Schizosaccharomyces pombe: one gene and its partners. The protein of the gene in region 2 purifies or fractionates together with the protein of the main gene of each other region. This does not show direct contact. Each region holds a gene or a part of one and is shown on either strand. Other genes may lie near its edges.

What was found.
Region 1: the proteins of int6 (region 2) and tif307 purify together in Schizosaccharomyces pombe (affinity purification with mass spectrometry; 3 studies listed by BioGRID, with this or other methods). This does not show direct contact.
Region 3: the proteins of int6 (region 2) and tif302 purify together in Schizosaccharomyces pombe (affinity purification with western blotting; 4 studies listed by BioGRID, with this or other methods). This does not show direct contact.
Region 4: the proteins of int6 (region 2) and tif308 purify together in Schizosaccharomyces pombe (affinity purification with western blotting; 2 studies listed by BioGRID, with this or other methods). This does not show direct contact.

The regions. Positions count from the first base shown.
Region 1 is NC_003423.3:1,770,909-1,775,068, reverse strand, and holds tif307 (translation initiation factor eIF3g), read right to left. Parts: upstream 2,067-4,160; 5' UTR 2,047-2,066; coding exon 2,036-2,046; exon of another isoform or gene 1,995-2,035; coding exon 1,157-1,994; 3' UTR 522-1,156; downstream 1-521. Other genes in the region: long-chain-fatty-acid-CoA ligase Lcf1, read right to left, coding at 2,820-4,160.
Region 2 is NC_003423.3:938,035-942,322, forward strand, and holds int6 (translation initiation factor), read right to left. Parts: upstream 2,275-4,288; 5' UTR 2,228-2,274; coding exon 2,194-2,227; intron 2,138-2,193; coding exon 666-2,137; 3' UTR 587-665; downstream 1-586. Other genes in the region: oss1 (oxysterol binding protein), read right to left, coding at 1-57; U3 snoRNP protein Nop56, read right to left, coding at 2,791-4,284. UniProt on the Schizosaccharomyces pombe protein: Component of the eukaryotic translation initiation factor 3 (eIF-3) complex, which is involved in protein synthesis of a specialized repertoire of mRNAs and, together with other initiation factors, stimulates binding of mRNA and methionyl-tRNAi to the 40S ribosome.
Region 3 is NC_003424.3:4,308,976-4,313,676, reverse strand, and holds tif302 (translation initiation factor eIF3b (p84)), read right to left. Parts: upstream 3,117-4,701; 5' UTR 3,099-3,116; coding exon 921-3,098; 3' UTR 616-920; downstream 1-615. Other genes in the region: pan1 (actin cortical patch component protein PanI), read left to right, coding at 1-456; kinesin-5 family plus-end directed microtubule motor, bimC subfamily Cut7, read left to right, coding at 3,701-4,701.
Region 4 is NC_003424.3:986,749-990,399, reverse strand, and holds tif308 (translation initiation factor eIF3h (p40)), read right to left. Parts: upstream 2,040-3,651; 5' UTR 2,004-2,039; coding exon 1,978-2,003; intron 1,939-1,977; coding exon 1,832-1,938; intron 1,741-1,831; exon of another isoform or gene 1,653-1,740; coding exon 712-1,652; 3' UTR 534-711; downstream 1-533. Other genes in the region: mitotic and meiotic (sporulation) septin Spn2, read right to left, coding at 1-61, 111-150.

The DNA of each region.
Region 1 (4,160 bases), 830 kb from region 2:
TAAAAGTCAATACTATCGTATGAAGTGAACCAGCTATTTCAACGGATATGAGAGTTATATTGTTAAATCTTTATGACAAATGTGTTCTTAAAACTTGCTATGCCTTTGAACACAGGATAAAAACTTATAAAAAATATGACCCCTAAGTGACTTGAACACTTGACTTTGAGATTTGGAATCTCACACTCTACCAACTGAGTTAAGGGGCCTTCGCTTGATCTCATAAATATTTAATATTATAGATATTAAAAAAAAGAATGTACAGCATAAGTTGTAATAATGAAAGTCGAATTGGTAAAGTCAAAACTGCTTAAGTAGTCAGTTGAAAAAATTAGCTTTTCTTTCAGCTTAACCTAGAAAGCCTTGGTGTAATTAATGAAGACACAAACGAGAAAGTTGCTTCAAATTACAACATTAATGGATTTTGCGAATCCTTACACTCTCCATGTAGCACTACATGCTGAAAAAATAACAAATGGTTTTGGAGCAGTTATAACAATGGAGTACAAAAAAATTTTCTAAAATAGTTAAAATTAGTCAGTTTAAAAACCCTTATTTTTTCTTAACTCGTCAAGTACACCAGCAATCTAATTTCGCGCGTAAAAATTTGTTTCACAATCTGAAAAAAAAGGTACCAAAAGACCAATCATCAAGGCAAGTGTACAGCTTTAAACCATTCATGATATTGCTACAAAATACTAAAAGTTATTTCAAAAATTTTTCAGAGGCAACCATTTCAAATATAAAAAGTATAAAGAGGAAAAGAAAACAAACGATAAGTAAATGAAACCTAATTTTATTCTTTTAAATAGCAAAAGCAGAGGAACAAAACGTAAGGATCCTTTCCAATTTAGCATAGATTTATGAGACATACCATGGGACGATCACTACGCAGATACAACCCCAAAAAAGGAAATTTTAGCATTCTACCAAACCCAATGCAATTAGGGATAATAGAGCCTGAACAATGTCAAGCATTAAAAAGTATAACATATGAAAGCTCTCAGAAACGGGTAAGGTGGTTAAGACAATCCGAGGGATTAGACTGAATACATGGGTGAAAATAAGGGAACGATTTATGGAAGAAAAAAGAAAATTTTTTATATACGTAGACCTTTATCCAATTTCAAGAAATTTTTATATAATTAAAAGAAACTTAATCTCGAGGCTTGGAGAATTCACATCGTAAAATCAAATTGTTCCAACCGTAACCATCCAAGCGATCACGAGCCTTGATAGCACAATCTCTATCGTAATAACTGACAAAGGCAAAACCTTTAGCACGACCAGTTTCCTTATCCTTTGCCAAATATACACGTTGAATACCACCAAAGCGACGGAACAAATCACGAAGTTCCTCTTCACGGGTATCATCAGATAAGTTAGTGACACGAAGAGTGGCACTATCATCACGTTCACGTTTGAACATAGAATCACCACTCTCACGCCCTGAGCCAGCACGAAGATGAGGAGCTATATAACGACCCTTTTCGCCCAAGGCACCACTAGCCCTTGAAGAAACAGGACTAGCATCCAAGGGAGGCTCATCAACAGGTCCAATAATGCTCTTGTAAGGACATTGAGCGGTAAAATGGTTACCCTTACAAGCACGACAACGAACCACAGAGCTACCCTTTGCCTTAACCTTAGCGGCAGCCAAAGCAGCCTCATCTTGCTCCTCTTCCTTCGTAGTAGTCCAACCAAGTTGAAGTCTTAACTGAACATTTTCGCCAACACTAGTGGTTCTAGCATCAACACCACTGTTCTTGCCTGCTTCCTTTCCGAATTTTTTCCATTTCTTACGCTCCGCCACAGCGTGTTGCACCCGCTCCGTAATAACGGTTTTCCGTATAACTCTGGTAACCTTCACCTTTTTGCCATTATCATCAATGCGAAATTCAATCATGGTTTTTGTGCCATCGGGATTATCAAACGTCTGAATCGAAGGCAATCCAGTACCATAGTCCTCATCGTCAGCCCAATCCAGTGATTTCCTACTTTGTTAGTTTCTTTCACAAAAAAATATATTACATACGATGAACTCATTTTATAGACAAAAGATGTTTGAAGAGGGTGAGCCCTTCATCACCAGAAAATTTGTTGTAGTGTTGAATTAACATACATTAGTAGAAGTTTGATATACCAACATAGCAGTCTACGTTGCAGTACACTACTTGAACTTTTCTTAAAAAGGAGATGATACCTTGCGACTAAATTAGTTTAAGCTTTCTGTTGCTACTATTAGAAAAAGCGGATGAAATTGTGGATTTCAAATTGAAGGGATCGTTAATAACCAGGACAAACTTCGCACCGGTCATCTCAATTCAATCGTCAGTTGAAGCCATAATCTGCAGATCTCTATTACCGATCACTATAAATAGCCAGGTTTTGCAATACCATCATCTTCTATTATTCTGTACAAAGCTCTTTAAAAAATTTCTCAATTCCCGTTAATATAGATATTATCAAAATACAAAATAAAAAAATAAAAACCCAGCATCATTGAACTGGGTATAAGAACATCTAGCTAAAACACTATAATCATACCCGGATGGGAATTTGGTGCATTCATAAATCTAGCATTCATGATTAAATAAGGACAAATGTTTTGTTGTAATAAGAGAAAATGCTCTGAAAAAAAGAAAAGGAATTCCCAAAGGACTTAACAAATCTAAGTTAAAGTCCTTAGCACCAACCAAGGCGGCTGATTACTTATAGCGTTGCAAATTTGAGGTGTCATACCAACTAAAGGAGAATGTCGAGGTAAATATATAAAAGACTAAAGGCAAATATCCTGCAAACATTTTATCTAAATGACTTTACTCGGCGTAAGCGGCGTCAATTTCCTTCTTGAAACGATCCAAAATTTTGCGACGCTGTAATTTCTGAGCTGCAGTCACCAATCCATTTTCGGGTGTAAACTCAATGGGAACAAGGACGACGTTTTGAATAAGTTCGATATTAGCGAAATGATGACTACGACCAATACGAATAAGGTCGTCATAAACAAGTTGACGAACTTTCTTGTTATGACAAACTTCCTCCCAAGAGGCATCAGGACTAAGACCGGCTTGTTCAGTGGCAAGTTTACGAACGACGGGCTCGTTGGGAACGATGATTGCCAAAGGCTTCACCTTGGTCTGATCTGCATATACACAGATATTCGAAACAAGACTGCTCGTACGATAGCGAGATTCAAGCTTCTCCAGTGCAATATACTCGCCATTTTGAGTTTTGACGAGGTTTTTCTTACGATCAATAATTCTAAGCAATCCTTCTGGAGTCAATTCGCCAACATCACCAGTACGGAACCAACCATCTGGAGTAAAGCTTTCTTTATTTTCTTTATCACGGTTAAGATATCCCCGAGTCAAAGAGGGACCACGAAGCCAGATTTCACCACGAGGAGGGTGTCCGTGAGAGTTGTAGTTGCCCTCTTCACAGTCAACTAACTTCATCTCAGTACAAGGCAAAAGAGATCCAGCTGAATCGTCCAAATTGAAACAAGCAGGGTTCTGAACCATAGCAGCTGCACTAATTTCGGTCAAACCATAACCGATTAACATAGGACAGAGAACGATAGAAAGGAAGCGCTTGGTGTCAGGAGATAAGGCAGAACCACCAGATAAAGTGTATCTTAAACGACCACCGGTTCCCATAGATCTAATTTTATTGAATACAGCGGTATCCAATACGCAAGAACCGGGAAGATTGTGACGCATCAACTTTGCTTTAGTGTAATAAGCAGTCCAAAAAACTGAACGCTTAACAGCAGAGGCAGCGTTTAATTTACTCATGATACCCTTACGTACCATTTCCCATACAGCGGGAACACCAACCATGATAGTGGGACGGAAGGTATTGATATCACCCTTGCAGTTTCTGCAATTAGTATCGACCAAAGTACGGACGTTGGCATAGCCAATGGTACCACCCCAAGCCAAACAAATGTTTTCAAACGCAAATTCGAGAATGTGTGCCAATGGAAGGTAGGCCAAAAGATAATCTTTAGAGGTAACTTCAGGAACGTGCTTGACAATAGCAGTGACAATTGCAACCATGTTCTTGTGACTCAAAATTACACCCTTAGGTAAACCGGTACTACCAGAAGTGTACATAATACAGCAGATCTCTTCAGGTGAAGGTGGATCAGGCTCAAC
Region 2 (4,288 bases):
GTTTTCAACTTGAATAGGTTCATTTTCTTTTTTTATTGCTTGATTAGGATTTGGCATCTTTAGGTCCTGGTCCTACTACTGACCAAAAATCTATTCTTTTCAAGAGATATCTTTGCGTTGATAAATGTTGGTGGCACGGAAACGGATGCTGTCTCAAGCTTTCGTGGTGTACTGGTTTGATATGAAATTTAAACACCAAACTTACATATTAGTTGTAGCGAGTCTTTCGATTAAATTACGGTAATACCGTTGCAGCATCGTTTATTTATCTATCAATTAGGGAAATTTAATTTAATGCAATTGGATTAGTATTATTACAGCAATTTAATATATACATAAGTTAATTCCACCGACACATTTTCTACATGTTGAGATAGCGGCATTAATACTTTTGCATTAATTATTTATTTTTTATGCACTTCAGAAAATAAAAAAATTTTAGATAATATATATTTTTTTAATATCCCCGCATGTTTCAAATTTCCAAAATTAATATACTAATAGCGATATTCAATGAGCACGTTTCTTTAAATAGGAAAGTACACAGTCATCTTCTACAATAACGAGTTGTTTGAAAATACAAAATTAGCGAATTAATTAAACTCCTATGTTTTATTTTTAATGTATGAAATATATTCCACCTTTAAACTATTTGCTAATCTTGTCTAAACAGTAGCATGCTTTAACTCCGAAATGCTTTTAGCAAGAGATTGCTCCAAGTTTTGACTTTCAAAACTTAATGACTTTGTACGGTCTATAATCTGTTGGAAAGCTGAATAAGTAGGGTGTTCAATTATTATTGATTCACCGTCCAACTTAGCTTTAAACCCAAATTGTACCTCGGGTTCGGGCTCTTCGGCTTCAGTAGCAGTTTCGGCTTCCGTGATTAAATCATCAGCAACAACATTTGTAGAGGTAGATTCAATACTTTCATCTTCAGTACTTTGATCGGCAGCTACATTAGAAGCTGCGGCAACTGAAGGATTATTACGGTTTTCAACAAGTTGTATTAATTGAGCACTGTCCATTTCCAGCTTGTTAGCAAGCACATCAACACTTATGACACTGTGAATACGGCAATATGCCTCAGCAAGTAATTTGCGAGCACCTTCCAAAAAGTGATCGCACAAAGATACGAGAAAAAAGTCGGTTTTCAAAACCTCTTCACATTCTCTGAGGCAATGCTGAGCTTTTTCAAAGTCGACCTCAGTATACAAAGCAGAAATAAAAGAGGTCACAGGATCGCTGTATTCATAGTTTTCTTGGCTAATGATGCGTACGAGATCTCGCATCCTTCTTTGATAAGATTGCCTAGGGTTACGAGGTTTTTGATTTGCATTATTTTGGTTAGTAACAACAGCGACAGTCAAATATCTTAATAGCCAGGGACAAGAGGTTTGGATGGTGTTGAGATAAGGAGTATAGAAGAACAAATCACAAAGAGTATCACAACCATTTGCATGATTAAACAAAGGAAACAAGGACCAGTGGAGGAGCCAAGTTCGATTTCTCAATTGAACAGCAGAATCTTTAAAGCTTTTGGAGTCCACCATTTCGCGAAGTTTTCCCAATTCCTCCATAGCCCCATCCCAATCAACAGTCAAAATTTCAGAAGCAAATTTACCCCAGGTCGCGGAGGCGTTTAATTCAGGGTCTTTACTGAAGGCACGAAAATGATAAAGTAAATCTGATGCACCACCGTAGTTTCCACAATTATATTGAAATTGAGCAAACTTGTAAAGAACAGCTATACGTTCAGGGGTAATGTTGTAATGTTCTTGTAGGTGTTGTAAATTTTGACCTTTATCTTGACGAAGAGCTGCAATCAAGTCAGGATTTTCTAAGACACCTAAAATTCCTTGAACCTCTTCTTCAAGTTCAGAGAGCTCTTGCAAAACACTGCGTCGCTTTTCAGCAAAAGCATTTGCCATGTCCTCGTCGGTATGACCCCCATGAAGATTAGTCCACAAGTTGGCCACATAATCAGTCATATTGGTATCTTTAAGCAAATCATACTTAGCTTGTAAAAGCTCCTTTGGATCATGAGTCTGTCTTAAAGATAAAAATTCCAATAGAGGAAAAATGAGATGGCGGTCAAGGTGTTGCATAATTTTTTGCGACAAATCATACTTGACCGCTATAAAGGTTAGAAAACATTCTCCTGTATTTAAAAATAAATCTAAATTAGCTTACCTAAAGGGCTTGTACTCTTAAGCTCGGATCCCATATCTGATATGTTTCACGCAAAAAAAAAGTGCGTGGTGTGGGGAGGATAGCACAACTCACCCAAAACTCTAGTAGTAGCCCCCTTAGACTACAGTACTGAAAAGCAATATGACAATAGTAGGTCAGCAATGTTCGTACAAAAAATATTAAATTCCTTAATGATATTTTTGCTTTTTTTAACCAATAGTTTTTCATAAAACTAATTAAGCTCGAACTTACTACCAGCTAATGTAAATCAATGTGTAAGACAAATTTTTATCCGATTCTTGATCTTTACTTAAATTGTAATTATTGTCAAATACTGGTTTCTAATATTTTTTTAACTTTCGATATAAATAGCACTTCTTATACGAATAATACATAAATGCTACTTAATAAAATGTAAATGCTTACTAAGAGATAAGTTTTACACGTCCATCCATCAAAATGATAAGCTCGATATCAATCGATTTAGTAATATTACAGTATTTACGCCCATAATCTATAGCAAATTTTTCAATTACAAGTTGTTCTAAATATGCAAGAGCAATATGGTCCCCGTTATATCCTAATAAAAATAACGTCTCAATGGCTCTTCTTTTTCTTCTTACTTTTCTTGACTTCTTCTGATGCATCATCGGCAGAACGCTTTTTCTTAGACTTCTCCTTTTTCTTCTCCTTCTTGTCTTTCTTTTCTTTCTTGCTCGGCTTTTCTGAAATGGTTTCAACAGTCTCTTCAACGTCAATGTCAACCTCCTCGTCTCCGTCTATGTTAACACTCGATAATGCCTTTTCATAAGCTTCTGCCATTGCAATACTATTGCGAGTAGGGGCGACACCGGTATCGAAAAAGTTGAGACGTTCCTCGACTTGTCGACGAAGAACTTGACCAAATGCCGTAGTTGGGGCATCGCTAAAGTTATCAATACGGCTAGCAATAGAACATTTGTTAGCCAAGAAACGAGAGATGCGGCCTTTGTTTTTAGCGCCAGCTTTTCCAATAAAACTAGAATGGTAAATAATACCGTATTTAGGCGTGTTTCCACGGGTTTTCAGAGCACGGAACAAAGCCTTTTCAGCACCTAGAATCTGTACCGTAGAAGCCGGGCATTTTGACAAGTTAGTTAGACTTCCGGCATGAGAAATCAAACGAGCACCAACCATCTCACCAATTAATTCAGCAAGATTGGGAGCAACAACATTCATCTTCTGAACCAAATAGTTATGTAGCTGTTTACGATAATTACTAAGTTTAATAACACGTTCAGCAAAAGATAGAATATTCTCGAGGTCAATTTCAGAGATATCTTGTCCCATAGACACTTTACCAGCGTTGATTATACTTTGAGCAATATCTTTGTCATCGTCTACAACGGCTGCCAGATCATGAAGCATTTCGTCGTTAATGGTGGTTTTATCACCAACCAGTGTAACAATAACAGCGTATTTGTAATTGTCTCCAACGATCTTCGAAAGCTCAGGGAAATGCCAAGAATACCACTCTTTCATGCGCATAGCGAAAGTATTAATGTCCTTGTCAAGTTGATCAAGGATAGCAATAGCTTGGATAATCATGTTGTCATTTCTGTTAACATTGAACTTCACTTTTGCGCGAGAGTATGAATGTCCTAAACCAAGCTGAGCCCTTTCGAAATCACCGGGTGATAGTTGCTTGAGAAGTTTATCACCATGAAAACGAATACCACGGAGAAGATCCTGGGTAAGCTCAGAAGTGTCACATTCAATGGCATCAATTTCGGATTTAATAGACGTTGCTAAATTTTTGTCTTGGACTCCCAGAGACACCTTTTTCTTCTTTGAGGCTTTCGGCAAATTGAGTTCCAAAAAGTTTTTCAAAAAATCATTCAAAACGCCTTCAGAAATGTCGTTGGCATTTTCCAAAGCATGGGCAGCATTTTTAAAAGGAATAAAACTTCTAAGCTGCACCACTTTACCAAATTTTGAAATATCCTGAAGAGACAACTGCACTTCCTTTGTCTTCGCTGCTATTTGATCAGCTCCAACGACATCAAAAAGGGAATACCCTGTCGCAGACTCATACAACAAGTAATCAGCCATTCTT
Region 3 (4,701 bases), on a different chromosome or scaffold from region 2:
CACGATTCTGACAATTGGAGTCAACATGGTGATGAAGAAGAAGAAGATAGCGAAGATGACATACGTTCAAGTAAAGATGCAGCTGCCTTAGCCGCCAAATTATTCGGTGGTATGGCTCCTGCTCATCCTGTTTCAACACCTCCTGTAAGACCTCAATCGGCGGCACCACCTCAAATGTCTGCTCCAACACCACCACCTCCTCCTATGTCAGTACCACCACCTCCATCTGCACCGCCAATGCCTGCCGGTCCACCGTCTGCTCCACCACCACCTCTTCCTGCTTCATCGGCTCCTTCTGTTCCCAATCCAGGAGATCGTAGTGCTTTACTTCAACAAATTCATACTGGCACTCGGTTGAAAAAAACGGTTACGACGGATAAAAGCAAGCCCATAGCAGGACGAGTTTTAGACGCTTCTGACGGCAATTCATCCGCTTGGTATGGGAATTTGTCTTAGTGGCTTAACTTTTGTTTGTACTCATATCAAACGTTGAGTTTTTGTAGTGTTTCTAATTTTTATGCGCTCTTTATGAATGATATATTTTCTCATTCTGCAGCTATCAATTATCTCTTTAAATTGGCTTGTTTATACTTTATTTACCAATAAAATGTTTATGTTTAAATCTCTAGAGTGCATTAAGACAATATGAATTTAGAAACTTTCTTGAGTCAAATAATACTCGGACATTCACAAAACTATTAAGAACGCTATATTACTTATATACAGTAGTATGTAACGCAAATGCAATTCCATTTAAAAGGACTAATGTAAATATAAATTTCCCCATACAGTACCAATCGAAACGCAAATACACGTCCAGGAACACATAATTGCGGCAACAAGATCATGATTTTAATCAAGTAACATCCGATTTCGAAGAAGGCCCCAATTTTTTTATGACAAAAGGTAGCGTAAAGCCCTTAATCTTCAACGGGTTCTATCTCTTCAGAGATTACTTCCTCAACCGTTTCCTGAATTATTTCTTCTTCTTCAGCAGGAACAGTGATAGCAGGTTGGCCAGTGATTGCACGTTCTTCCGCAACCCGAGCAATAACCTCATCCCTATATTTCTGCCACTCACTAATGAGCTGTCTTCTACGGGCTGCCAATTCACGATTGGCGGAACTCTGTTCGGCGATATCCTCTTCATCAAACAAACGATTATAATCCTTAAGTTTCTTTCTAATTTTCTTCATGTCTTCCTTTGTCAATGGAGAAGGAGGTCTCGGACGCCAGATAAACTGCTTAAATTCTCCAATCATTTCTTCACGAAGAAGTGTGCCCCTAAAATCGCAAAGTCTGTAACCGTTCTCAAGCTTATGCCTCCAAATAGTACTGCTAGTAGTAACATATCGACCACTAGGATCCCACTCCAGCTCAGTCATACCAAAGTGCTCGGCAGAACCTATTTGCTGAACATTGGCAAGAGCATCCGGTTCTTTCTTTTCGGTATCAAAATCTAAGTCGTAAAACTCCAAATCATATTGAGTAGAGGAACCAAGGGTTGCAGCAACCATAAATCTACCCTTAGGCGCCATAAAAAGTGAATTGCATGTTTTCTTATCAAAAGTAATGATATGACGGAAAGTACTAGGGGTGTTCTTTTTCTGCTCAAAACCATAAAACGATAAATTAGTTTTTACATTTGTAGAATTTAAAACTTGATCATTAGCTGAAATTATGGCAAAACGATCACTCTTAGGTTCCCAGGCAAAATTGAGAACAACATCCTTAAGATCCACTACTTCAACGGGAATATTTTTCTCACGAATTCGGAATATTTCAAGGTTAGAGAATGTTGATTTCTTAGTTTTTGTGTGACGATCAACCTTAACACATAAATAATCACCATTAGACTGCCAGTACAACTTACAGTCGGAAACATTGAAAAGATTTTTCGTACGGATAGTTGATTTTGAAGGAATACTAATTAAGGCAACGCGAGCAGGTTGATTGGTAATTTCAGGGGTCCAGTAAGCTAAAAGCTGCTCCTTGGAATCACGTCCGAGAGCATCTGAAACTGGGCACCATTCAAAATTTTGCACACCGTCGATCTTGATAGTTTTCTTGTCAACCAAAGCAAGGGAGGGTGTCTCATAAACAGAAATCGACTGACCAACAGTAACGCGAGCAAGGTATTTATCATCGGCAGACCACTTGAAAATAGGCCAAATAACTTTTTTGCCATCCTTTGAACCTTCTGGTTGAGGAGGAATCTTAAAAGAACGAAGAATACGACCAGAGGCAATATCCCAAACGAAGCAATGTTTTCCTTCATCATCATCAGTGAAAGGCATTGTTTCACGAGCCGGATGTCCGATGGGAGGAAGTCGAACAGGCTCATAGGACCATGAAACAAGATACTTCTCGTTAGGGCTGAAGTCGACAAATTTTACGTAGGGGTGCAAGAAACGAGCACACATTCCCCAAGATTCCCCACCCCATAATTGAATACCACGAAGATGAAGTGATACGAGGTAAGTGCCCATGGGAGACCATTGCACGTAGGTCTCGGTCCAGTTTTCACGATCCACAATCTGTTCAGGGACGTCGCTCTTACGGTTCCAGTTAACAGATACACGGTTACCGTAATAGCTGATAAATTGATCACGACCATAGTAATCAGTTAACCAGCTACGCAAATGTTCGCGCTCCTTAAATTCACGTTCTTCGAAACTAAATTCATCAGGAGTGCTAAAAGCTTTTTCGAGTTGATTCAACTTACGAACAACGAAAGTATGGTTTTTTAAAATTTGCTTTCCATCCAACTCTTGAACGCAAAGATCGGCGCCATCAACATTTTCAAAATCGGCGAAAACTAGTCCAAGAGACATCTTTTTTCCATTTTTTTCCTCAAATGGCATATAAAATCCATTTTCCTTAACCTTTCCAATTTTAGCAAGGACTTTTGAGCTCAAAAAACGGAAGAAATCTTGCTGCTTAGCTTCTTCGACAACTGGAGCACCTTCGATTACTACAACCGTGTCATATCCAACAGGTTTAGTTACATTAAGCTTAACTTCCAGTTCAGAAACATCGATTTCCTCGTCCTTTACGACGATTTGATCCTTAATTTCCTCAATTAGGATTTCCGACATTTCTGGTGTAGTGCCGTTGTCTCTAGTCAAGTTTCTTCACCCAGTGACTGGGGGGACATCGAAGAGTAACTTTAGAGAAATTTAAAAAAAATTGAAAGTAATGAAAAGTAGAATTTAAAAAACATGGTATCATTTAAAATAAACTAATAAAGTTGATTCTGTTTTATATTTCTTCTTTTTTAGATTTTAACTCATTCTACCGATTTTGACTATTATCATTACTGACAACAGTTTATCTGCCAAGTTCGTTCATTTTGTATTGATTTTTAGTATTAGCACAATTGTTGGATTTTTCATAAAAGTTCTTTTTTCTCTTTTTATACTGTTGATTTGTACTGCAAAACATTGGAATGAGACATTCCAAGTGTTACCGTGTCTGAGTCCTCGTTCTTGTTTACAACAATTCAACAACATACTCAGGAGCGACAATTGTCCAATTTATTCATTCTTTTTACCCCTAAAAACAGACGTTTACGATCTTTTCCTATTTTAAATTTACCCCTTTTTTTTATATTGTGGTTTATTGAACTTTACAACAGAATTGCAATTTAAATTAACAACCTTGTCGCTTTCTTTGTAACAATCCTTACTCATAAAACCGAATGGCCCCTAGAGTTGCACCTGGTGGCTCACAACAATTTCTAGGAAAGCAGGGGTTGAAAGCTAAAAACCCGGTTTCTACTCCAAATTCACATTTCCGCTCTGCGAGCAATCCTAGGAAACGACGTGAGCCTCCTACTATTGACACTGGGTACCCAGATCGCTCCGACACTAATTCTCCGACAGATCATGCACTTCATGATGAGAACGAAACCAATATTAACGTAGTCGTCCGTGTTCGTGGTCGTACAGACCAAGAAGTACGCGACAATAGTAGCCTTGCTGTATCGACTTCGGGCGCTATGGGTGCTGAATTGGCCATCCAGTCGGATCCTTCATCCATGTTGGTCACGAAGACGTATGCCTTTGATAAAGTCTTTGGTCCTGAAGCTGACCAGTTAATGCTATTCGAAAATTCGGTAGCGCCCATGCTGGAGCAAGTATTGAACGGCTATAATTGTACTATATTTGCGTACGGACAAACTGGAACCGGTAAAACATATACTATGTCTGGTGATCTTAGCGATTCCGATGGAATTTTGTCTGAAGGAGCAGGCCTTATTCCTCGTGCCCTTTATCAATTATTTTCCTCCTTGGACAACAGTAATCAAGAATATGCTGTCAAATGCTCCTATTATGAACTTTACAACGAGGAAATTCGCGATCTTTTGGTTTCCGAAGAATTGCGAAAGCCAGCTCGTGTTTTTGAAGATACTTCGCGGAGAGGGAACGTTGTTATTACTGGTATTGAAGAAAGTTATATAAAAAATGCTGGCGATGGGTTGCGATTGTTACGTGAAGGCTCTCACCGGCGTCAAGTTGCTGCTACAAAGTGTAACGATCTTTCATCTCGTAGTCATTCAATCTTCACGATAACTCTGCATAGAAAGGTATCTTCGGGAATGACAGATGAAACTAATTCACTTACCATAAATAATAACTCTGATGACTTGCTGCGCGCCAGCAAACTTCATATGGTTGATTTGGCTGGAAGCGAGAACAT
Region 4 (3,651 bases), on a different chromosome or scaffold from region 2:
TTAAATTGAAAACCACGACGAATTAACTTGCGGTTAATTTGCGAAGTGATAGAATCGAACCCTATAAACATTAGTTTTGACTCTTTATCAACATTCTTTTGTTTTCATACCCACATAATTATTTAGGGTAACTGCAGAAGGAACTTCCATTGCAAGTTGCGAATTGAATGAATTTGGAATTTGTTGGTTTTGGCCAAGTCAACATTGTAACGTGAAGCAAGTCAAAACAAACAAAAAGGTCTCGGCAATATTTACGATTTTTTTTTTAAATAATCTAACAGAGAGAAAACAAAATTTAACAATATATTTTATTAATAGAAAAGTGTTTCGATGTTGTATAAGGGCCCGAAAATATATTAAATTAGCAATGTAACCTAAAACTCGAATACGATAAACAAGTAGATTACCAGCAACTGAATGCACTATTGAAGATTAAACTGTTTCTTATAATTACAATCATGGTATATTTTTGCACATTGTATTTCAACAAACCAATATGCTGTATCAAGAAAACCAAAACAACTTTTATAATTAAGTAGATCCTTTTATTTTAATGCTACGAGGTATAACTAGTGAGAGTGAAGAAGAATGCTCCATTTTTTATAAACAAATACATGCAACCGCTTCACAGAGATCAAAGTCCTTAAAAATTTTCAACCAGATTCACAAATAATTAGCGCTAAATTTAAGCGATTATTACCAATCAGTAGCTTAAGAAGCATAAGCGTTTCGTACACCGGCAAGCTTAGACAAGAAAGCAGAACTTTGTTCATCTATTTGAGTAGACTTCATAATTTGAGAGCTAATCAATAGAGAGTCAAGAAGTCGAGGCTCCGCAGGGAGCTTGAAGATTCGCTTCCAATCGTCTAAAGGTAAAGGTTGTAAATTTTCGGCAGCACGATTTGCATTTTCGGCCTTACGCTTAGCAATCCACTGTTGAATTTTAGCTTGCTCTCTTGCGAGTTGACGTTGATGAAATCCAAGATTTCCTTGCTCATAATGAAACTCATCAGTAGACTCCAATAATAACTCAATATTCTTTCTATATCTGGTACCCAAACTAACCTCAAAGTTACTGAACGTTTCAGTCAAGGGTAAGTTGCTTTCACAATCTTCAAGAGCAGCTTCGGCGGTTAGGGTAGAAGCTGGAGTAGGAGGCTCACTAAGAGAGTGGAGCAAACAGGTAGCCAAATGAGAGTTGTGAATAACAATAGGAAGTTCACGGATAACATTGGAAGGAGTCAAGTTGTGGCTATTGAGGGAGGAGGCGGTCCAAGTTTTTTCCTCATGGGCAGCCATAAACTCTGGAGTTAACTGATAAGCACGCATGTACAAAGTTCCATTAGAAGATTGAGACAAATCATAAAGAAAAGCGATACTGTTGGGGTTTGCCTTTTGATAAGCATATTGCGTTTCTACAAAAAAGGGGCTACTTAAGAATGAACTAACATAGGCTCCCAAATACCAACCAACGTGACCAGTAACAGCACCAATGTACTGAAGACGATTAAGCATCGCCTCAGTATGAGCTTGGCGTGCTTTACCGGAAACAGACTTGTTAACAGCAGACTCTTCATTTTCAAGAACAGACGGAGACTCGAAGCTGCTACTGACTTGTAAAACACCATCAATGTCAATACCAACAAGCTGACCTGAACGAAAGTTAGTTAAAAATATTATTTCAAGAGAGAAACTGTGGTTGATAAGAAATTTCACTAAGTAGAGCATTACTGAGCTGACAAATGCATAGCTGCATCTTTGATGCAGAAAAATTGCAAGTTTTATCATTTCGAAAAATAGGGAAAACTTATTCTCCAATGACTACACTTACCAATTGTTCCCATATTAGGAAAAGAATCACGGCAGTGCTTGATGATATTCATTACAAGTAAAGATTCTAATTCCACCCGCTCAATAGGGGGAGACTCCAATTCTGGACTACTGAATTAGTTATTTATATATCTTAGTCATTCTTACACATTCAATGAAGTTGTATCAGACATGTTTTTTAAGTCTGCCAAGTAGTTGGTTGAAGTGCAAATTGCTGTACGAACTTCTAAAGGAGTTAGTGTTCACCAGTTTAATGACAAGTAACAACAAGTAGCAACTTTTTAAAGCCATGGCTGTCGGCGATTACAAGTTATAGAATAGAGGAGCCTACCAGTTTTATTAAACCTTTTCTAACTAGTTAAAAAATTTGTAAATTTTTTTTTTGTTTTCTCGGCCTTAAGCTCTATTTTCATGACTTCTTTTACTAATTTACCGAAATATGATTTTCATGCTTATTGTAATTTAAGAGCAGCTTCACCGCCTTGCAAAGTCTTTTTAATATAGTGTAATTGACACTGCATTATACTTGAAAGTTCAACATTATTCGTTGATTGGAAATGAATGTGACTGCTTTTCCGTTATATTTACTATATATACGGGTCATTATCCTCAACAAAACACTATCGACGATACTCCATAGGATCATTTCTATAGTATACGTCCGGCTTGGGTTTCCTAACCTAGCCACAGAACTCAACACGGATGATGATAGGAGGCACCGTTGCCCTCAGAGTGAGGACTTTTAATTCTTTGAAGGCATGCTTTTCGATTAGGTTTTTTACCTAATTGTTTTGCTGTCTTTCTATGCGATGATCTCTTACATGATATGTTTCCTTTTGGTCGTATTATGTAGGGCAGCTGGTGTTTTCTGACGTGTTTAATTTCATCTATTATATTACAACTGTGGTGTCGTTTGATGACATAGATGTAATTTCTAGATGAAGTTGTGTCATGTTTTAGCGTAGATTTTAGTGAATAAATGAAACGATTTCAAATTCCGTTAGATTGTTTGATTTATGTTTCTTATTAAAGGAGTCAATTGTATGGTATTTGGAGTTAGATGGATAGCTTACTTGGCGGCGTTTTTTATTTAATATTGTCTGCTGTACATTCGTTAGTAGTAAAGTATTACACGAACGTTTCCACTCAATTGGAAAGTCAAGTCCATGCTTTGTGGGAGCAACATTGATCATGTATGTTTATGTATTGCTAGTTTGTTTATAGAATAACGCAGATTACGGAATCACGCTATTTAACGTCAAAACGTCAAGAAAGGTGTCAATTATGCTCGTTGTCATGCCAACGTCATTGTTTGCGTTTTTTCTTTGATGATTACTTTGTTTATTGTTTTCAGTTGAAGATTGTAAAAATATCATTAGCTGAACGTTGCTTTAAAGGTGTCTTACGTGAATATATTAAGGTTACTTTATAACGGCGTTGTATATTCATTTGTTACTTATTTACCGATCCTATGTTGATGCCGTACTTGTTCCTTGTGTAGGAAAGCTGATACCTATGTACGTACGTATTGCTGTTAGGCGGTTCTTTTATCCCACACCTCTTCCTAAGAATAGCTACAAACATTACCAACTTCATATTAATTCATCAATACGATCTTGAAACTTAGAAGTACTTCTAAATTGTCTTTTCTTGTCGATAGGGCTCGTACATTTGAACTGTTCTTGCTGGATCGTTTCAGATCAAAGCTGATCATATTACAAAGAACTCACGCCTTTACTAGCTGACAAGGTAGGATAACGTCGGAATCCATAGAGAATTTGCAACTTATTAAACCTTAGAAGCTTCTTACCCTCTTAATAC